Linked DNA regions of Nothobranchius furzeri. The protein of the gene in region 2 interacts with the protein of the main gene of each other region in a pairwise test. Links are inferred from orthologs where the notes say so. Each region holds a gene or a part of one and is shown on either strand. Other genes may lie near its edges.

What was found.
Region 1: the proteins of ankrd13a (region 2) and qdpra interact in a two-hybrid assay, tested with the Homo sapiens proteins (2 studies listed by BioGRID). The two-hybrid records come from large-scale screens. The link is inferred for Nothobranchius furzeri from reciprocal best matches to the Homo sapiens genes ANKRD13A and QDPR.

What each region holds. Positions count from the first base shown.
Region 1 is NC_091741.1:74,699,010-74,702,546, forward strand, and holds the end of qdpra (dihydropteridine reductase), read right to left. Parts: intron 1,427-3,537; coding exon 1,324-1,426; 3' UTR 546-1,323; downstream 1-545. UniProt on the Homo sapiens protein: Catalyzes the conversion of quinonoid dihydrobiopterin into tetrahydrobiopterin.
Region 2 is NC_091757.1:45,582,101-45,585,855, forward strand, and holds the start of ankrd13a (ankyrin repeat domain-containing protein 13A), read left to right. Parts: upstream 1-1,361; 5' UTR 1,362-1,533; coding exon 1,534-1,641; intron 1,642-2,414; coding exon 2,415-2,550; intron 2,551-2,778; coding exon 2,779-2,903; intron 2,904-2,982; coding exon 2,983-3,028; intron 3,029-3,464; coding exon 3,465-3,608; intron 3,609-3,691; coding exon 3,692-3,755. UniProt on the Homo sapiens protein: Ubiquitin-binding protein that specifically recognizes and binds 'Lys-63'-linked ubiquitin. Does not bind 'Lys-48'-linked ubiquitin.

The DNA of each region.
Region 1 (3,537 bases), on a different chromosome or scaffold from region 2:
TGATTCCCACTAAAAATTACAGAGCAAGCGTGAAGCTGACAGTTGGTAAAGAGCACCATCTAGTGGACATTCTTATACAGAGATGCTAAATATTTGAGTCTTCATCTGGAGCAGATGCTTCAAATAAAGCAGAACTTGTACCACTTAGTTACAGGAGGATCAAATCTCAAACTTAATAAAAAAATAAACATTAACAATGTGTATTTCCCCTGGCGATAGGGGGCATGAACTACTTTCATATGAAAACACATTTTTAGAAAAGGCACTTAGACCCACTCCCATGCATTTTAGACCTGATGTTTTATTCTTATATGTTACGAAGCTGCCAATGTATCAACAACTGGGCAATATTTAATTTTCAAAATCTTTGATGATATTTCCAGAGACTACCAGTAAAAACAACACATCGTCTCTTTAACATGGATCAAAATGTTTTAAATTCCTAAGGACCAGTTTGTTTTGTAACGAGAGCACATGTAATTTAGGCCAAATGTATTGGTTGTAGGAGTGTCAGTTATGTTTTCAAAATGTAACTGGAACCATAGTTGATTTTTGACCCAGTTTATTGTGAATTCCAACTGTAACAAGACAACATTTAGGAGAACTCACAGCAGGATCAGAGCACCATCTTTAACATGATGGGCACAAAGGACACTTGGAGGCTACAAACTAAAGTTTAAGGCCACTCCATATTTTCTTTGTTCCTTGAGGTTCTGCAGAGGCTGAGGCTCTTCGGAGACAATGAAGGATCACATCATAATTTCTTACAATTGATACTGGGCACACGTTGAATGAAAGAATGAATGGCTTCACACATATGAGGACATCTTTTTAAATTTTATCAGTTTTTCAGAAAAGTGTATTAATACCACCATAACTGACATCACAAATGTTTTGGGTTCACCAACATAGGTCATCTTTATCTCCTGTTTTCACACCAGCCTCTCTAAAATGATTGACCAACATGTTGGCATGCTTCTAATTCAGCACAATTACACAAGACTGAACATTGAATGAAACTTTGTGTCTTAATGGTCCTTTGGTGAGCAGTTTATTTCCATTACAGAAGACCTCTCAGTCAGATTGCCTGTTACAGGGTAAAAGCTGTGGTAAACAACAGCTAGATGGCGGTGTGAGGCAGTGTTTGTAACAAAACCCACTCCCCTCTTCCCCCACAATACACCCATCTGGCCATCTCCTGTACACGTTCCTTATTCTGTCACCTTCTGTCTTCCCCATTACGCCTTCTGTTTCTATTCCTCCCTCCTCTACTACCTCCATCTCTGACTCCCCCTCCACATTGCCACAGCTTTGCTCCGTTCTTTACAGACTGGCCACAGCCTGTGTATCTCCTCCAGAGGTTAGGAGCTGCATCAGGCTTCCTGAAGCTGGCCGGTTCTCCCCTGTGGCCCAGCCGAAGAACATCCTGCACCCAAACAAAAAGAGAAGCACTGTTCAGGAGGTTTACTCACACAGACAAAGCAATAAAACGCCAAATTAGGGTTAAGCTTTTTGGTAAAAAAAAAAAAAAAAAAAAAAAAAATCCAAGAAGAAAAATAGTAACATTTCCATAAAGACAATTCTAGACACTTTGGTATACAAAGCCAACTGTATTTGATGCTATATTAGCAGTATGTTTAGATATAAGAATGGTAAAAGGCTTGTATTTGTATTGCACCTTTGTAGGGTTCTACAACCCCCCAAGGCACTTTACAACACAATCTGTCATCCACCCATTCACACGCTGGTGAAAATGAGCTACAATGTAGCCACAGCTGCCCTGGGGCACAATGGTGGAAGCAAGACTGCCAAGCACTGGTGCCATCAGTCCCTTCGATCACCGCCAGCAGGCAAAGCGGGTTAAGTGTCTTGCCCCAAAGACACAACAGCAGCATTCTCTGACACCGGGATTGAACCTACAACCTTCTGATTACTAGACAACCCGCTGTACCTCATGAGCTACTGCTGCCAATAACATGACTGATTGTGACATATTTACATATTTTAGCCATAATTCTCAGGCTGTTTAAATGGATTTACGTGCAAACATCTTTCATTATGAATGGATTGGAGATCACATCAGAAACTATGACTTTAAACTTGAGTTTCTCTTTTTTCTGTGTTATTTCAGTCCAGGGATAGACTGATATACTGGTCGGCTGATATATCTGGCCAATATTTACTTTTTATATATATATATATATATATATATATATATATATATATATATATATATATATATATATATATATATATATCTCAGCATCAGCCAATATACCTCTTTAGAAGAGCTCATTTAAAAACAGGCCCACCTGTGGGCAGCATAGGACTTCTGCTGAATTCTATTTAAATGTATATTTATGTTCCAGAAAAGAAATCTGCTTGATAAATGCTTCGTCTTCGTCTTCCTCCGCTTATCCGGGTCCGGGTCGCGGGGGCAGCATCCCAACTAGGGAGCTCCAGGCCGTCCTCTCCCCGGCCTTGTCCACCAGCTCCTCCGGCAGGACCCCAAGGCGTTCCCGGACCAGATTGGAGATGTAACCTCTCCAACGTGTCCTGGGTCGACCCGGGGGCCTTCTGCCGGCAGGACATGCCCGAATCACCTCCCCGGGGAGGCGTCCAGGAGGCATCCTGGCCAGATGCCCAAACAACCTCAACTGGCTCCTTTCGATCCGGAGGAGCAGCGGTTCTACTCCGAGTCCCTCCCGAATGTCCGAGCTCCTCACCCTATCTCTAAGGCTGAGCCCGGCCACCCTACGGAGGAAACTCATTTCGGCCGCTTGTATCCGCGATCTCGTTCTTTCGGTCATTACCCAAAGCTCATGACCATAGGTGAGGATTGGGACGTAGATCGACCGGTAAATCGAGAGCCTGGCTTTCTGGCTCAGCTCCCTCTTCCCCACGACAGATCGGCTCAGCGTCCGCATCACTGCAGACGCCGAACCAATCCGCCTGTCGATCTCCCGATCCCTCCTCCCCTCACTCGTGAACAAGACCCCAAGATACTTAAACTCCTCCACTTGAGGTAGGACCTCTCCCCCGACCCGGAGGTGGCAAGCCACCCTTTTCCGGTCGAGAACCATGGTCTCAGATTTGGAGGTGCTGATCCTCATCCCAGCCGCTTCACATTCGGCCGCGAACCTACCCAGCAAGAGCTGAAGGTCAGAGCTGGATGAAGCTAGGAGGACCACATCATCCGCAAAAAGCAGAGACGAGATTCTCCTGCCACCAAACTCGACACACTCCACACCACGGCTGCGTCTAGAAATTCTGTCCATAAAAGTGATGAACAGAACCGGTGACAAAGGGCAGCCCTGGCGGAGTCCAACCCTCACTGGGAACAGGTCCCACTTACTACCGGCTATGCGGACCAAACTCACGCTCCTCTGGTAAAGGGACTGAATGGCCCTTAACAGAAAGCCACCCACCCCATACTCCTGGAGCGTCCCCCACAGGGTGCCCCTGGGGACACGGTCATAAGCCTTCTCCAAATCCACAAAGCACATGTGGATTGGTTGGGCAAACTCCCATGCCCCC
Region 2 (3,755 bases):
TGAGCTGGGGAGGAAATGCCTTCTAAAATGTGTAATGTAATATTTCCGTTATGATAACATTTGATGTGGTTCCGCGTTAGCTAAACTTCGCTCTTTGAGCAAACCAATCATCGAATTGCTAAACTATTTCATTTAGGTAAATGTCTAGCGTGTCGATTTAGCTAGTGTGTGCCACGAGTGATATTAAATAGCCTCTCAGGACTTAACAGCTTGCCTGGTATCAAGCTGACAAGGCACCACCTGCCTTGCTTCCTAGCCCAATGCACATATGGTAGTTTACTGATCGAAAGCAGCTGCGACCAATTCGTATGAGTTATTGAACCCACAGCCTAGACTGGCAGGAAATAAACCCTGTAATAACAACATTACTACACAAATTACGCCTCTTGGTTAAACAGTAATGTATAAGCAATTAAAATATTTATATTTATTGTTTGGGGGTATATTTAGCTTATTTAAACCTAAAAACAGCGCAAAATCATGTCTATTGTTAACCTGAGAGGGAAAATTGAGGGCAATAAAACACTGCTGCTCACAGAGACGCAGAAGGTGCGTTTGATCTATTAACCTTGTAGCACGGTGGAATAGTTGAATTTACACCTAATTTAAAACTTTACACACCACAAGTATGATTTCTGCCTTGTTCATAAAATAGGTGCGGGGCTGGAGTTATTTTTGCACATGATTGATCTCATTGATTAAAGGTTTTAATTCATCGTGCATAACAAAACATTAAATAACTCTCTGAGAAAATTACCACATAAATACATGAATTAAAAATATATAATAACAAAAGTGAAGAAGTGCCATATAATGCAATATGTAATATTTATTAATATTAAATATGATTCGGGAGGTGATTCTACGGACGGTGCAGTGTTACATTTTTAACCTCCCCAAAACGTAAAAGTAACGAGGATATGTCAGTCAAATCTGTGATTTTATTCATTCAAGCACAATGCTTACCTTTTATTTAATTTATTTTTACATTCTACAACAAGATGAATGCTAAGAATTAAATATTGAATGTTTAAAATATGCTCAGCTAAGGCGTTTGTATATTTTAGACATGATTCTTATCCCCCCATGCTAACATGTCAAATGGTTTCGTCCAAACTGGAACCGTCTATCAATAAATAAATAACAACAGCGCCTTTTGTTCCAAAATCGTGACTTTGTTTTGTGTCTTCAAAATTAAAACTTATTTTTACGTTTAATTTATTATAATTCTATAATTTGTTTTAATCATGATTAAAAAAAACGTGATTGTGTATAGGGTTAGGTAAGTAGGACACCCCTGTCATTACGAGGTTGCTCTTCCTGGCACTTCCTTGTTCAAAAGTTTTTTTTTTTATGGGAAGGCTCCAGGGGAGAAAGTTGGTCATCAGATTGTGTTTCTAACTTAAATTCTACGGTCATCTCTGAAGACGTGGACTATGCGTGTCGCATATTTTGATTTAACTAGCTACGGCAGCTGATTTGATGGGTGGTTTTTAACGACTGTCAGCGGTGAAAGGCTGGAGAAAGAGGAAGATGTCGATGGCTAACGTTAGCGAAGACATCCGAGAGAAGTTTCCTCTTCATTCCGCTGTTTGGGAGAATGATTTCAGGAAACTGGAGGAGGAATTACGATCGCTGCAGGTTAGTAGATGCGACGAACTTTTTATTATCCACACATCTGTGTTTTAGTGGTTAAACAAAACGAAACCGGAGTTAGCTGTTTGGTGGCCTTAGTTGAAAGTAGGCCATTGATGTTGACAGATGCTGCTGACACACACACACACACACACACACACACACACACACACACACACACACACACACACACACACACACACACACACAGTCTGAAATATTATAGATCAAACTGAGTGGTTCAAGGTTAACATCCTTCATAGACGTAATAATACAGACATGGGCGAACCATAAATGACACATATAACATGGGATAATAATATTTAAGAATATGTGTTTATTAGTTGTTTATTACTCATATATTTTTTATTTATTGCATCTAGTGTGAAATAACTGAGCACAAAATCAGCCTTATGATGTATTTTTATTTTAAAATCGTTAAAAGGCCGTATAAATCAGCGTTACTCACTCGTACCTGTAGTCTCTCTTGCATTGTGATACATTTTGTGTCGTATTGCCAGATCTTACCAATACACACCTCAAGTTTTCACAGTGTAATTTGCTCAGATCACCAACTATTAACATAGTTATTATATAGTGACTTGTATGAGAAACGTGCATGAAGCTGTTATTGTGGTAAGTACAGTCAGTCATTTACTATTATCAGCAAACGCTTAAATGATTAGTTAGATTGTTGTTTAGTTACAAATCCTGCACAAAATATACGTTTATCATCATCTGGTGTTTAACTATTTAAATTATCTGATATTTTTCCTCAGAATGAAATTGAGACTATGGACCCTAGGGGTCGGACCCCTTTGCACCTGGCTGTGTCCCTGGGACACCTGGAGACCGTAAGAGTCCTCCTGAGACATGGCGCTCAAGTAACTAAAGAAAATGCCCATAACTGGACAGGTTAGCTCTACACCTGAATAAGATGACAGATGAAATAACTCTCTGGGTTTCTTCATCACTTAGAACCCTTCATATATTTTTAATGGGATTTCTGATTTATGCATAGCACACTCTTTATTGTTTCGGTGAAACAGTTACTGTTGCAGTGAGGTTTTGTAATGGGGAATGTGCTATGTTGGTCCTTAAAAAGGTTTAGTGGTTTTCCGAACGCTTGTTTTTTGTGTGTAGTGCTACAGGAAGCGGTCAGCACTGGAGATCCGGAGATGGTTCAGTTAGTGCTTCAACGCAGAGACTACCTCAAAGCCTCCACTGCTCTGGGAGGAGTGCCTGAACTGCTGCTGAAGATCCGAGAGGTTGTTACCCATTCGTGTGTGTGAGCCTGGAAACAATTACCTGACAAATAAGCATGGGTCTGATTTTATTTATCTCCAGTCTCCAGACTTTTATATGGAAATGAAGTGGGAATTTACCAGCTGGAGTAAGTTTTTCTTTTATTATTATATTTTAGAAGTTTAGAGAAAAGGTTTCCCTGATTTGAACATTGATGTTCTTTTGTGTGCAGGGGTTTCCCTGATTCATGGTAATATCGGCTAAGTAGAGTTTATTTTGTTTTGTTGCCACCGATTACCCCAGTTGTGTTAATTAAGTCTCTATTGGTTCATTTTCTTTTGTGTAAATAAATGTGTTTAAGTTTAGCTTTTAACATCCCAGACAAGCCCCCATTTGTTACCCCAGGACCCCTCGATAGCATGGGTTGTAACAGTCATTCAAGTCAGAGGAAGCATTTCTAACGATGTAGCACCTGATGACTGGCTTAGAATGCTTCATCAGAGCCTACAGGTCAAAGGACATACCTACAAGTTTATCGAACCACATTCTTTTCATTGGGATGTTTTCTCACACGGTTGTTTTAGTTCCTCTTCTGTCCCGGATTTGTCCGAGTGACGTTTGCCGCATTTGGAAAAGTGGCGCCTGCCTGCGAGTGGACACCACTCTCCTCGGATTTGAAAACATGACCTGGATCAGAGGTCGCCGAAGTTACATCTTCAGAGGAGACGGTGTGTGTTTGAATCACAACACCAAAATCCCCAATTCTGTTTATGAAAGCTATTTCTGTAAAGGGCTGTTTGTATGCTGACAGAGTCATGTGCTGAGCTGATGGAGATGAACCACGATGATGGAGTTGTTGACGTCGAGCGCTTCAA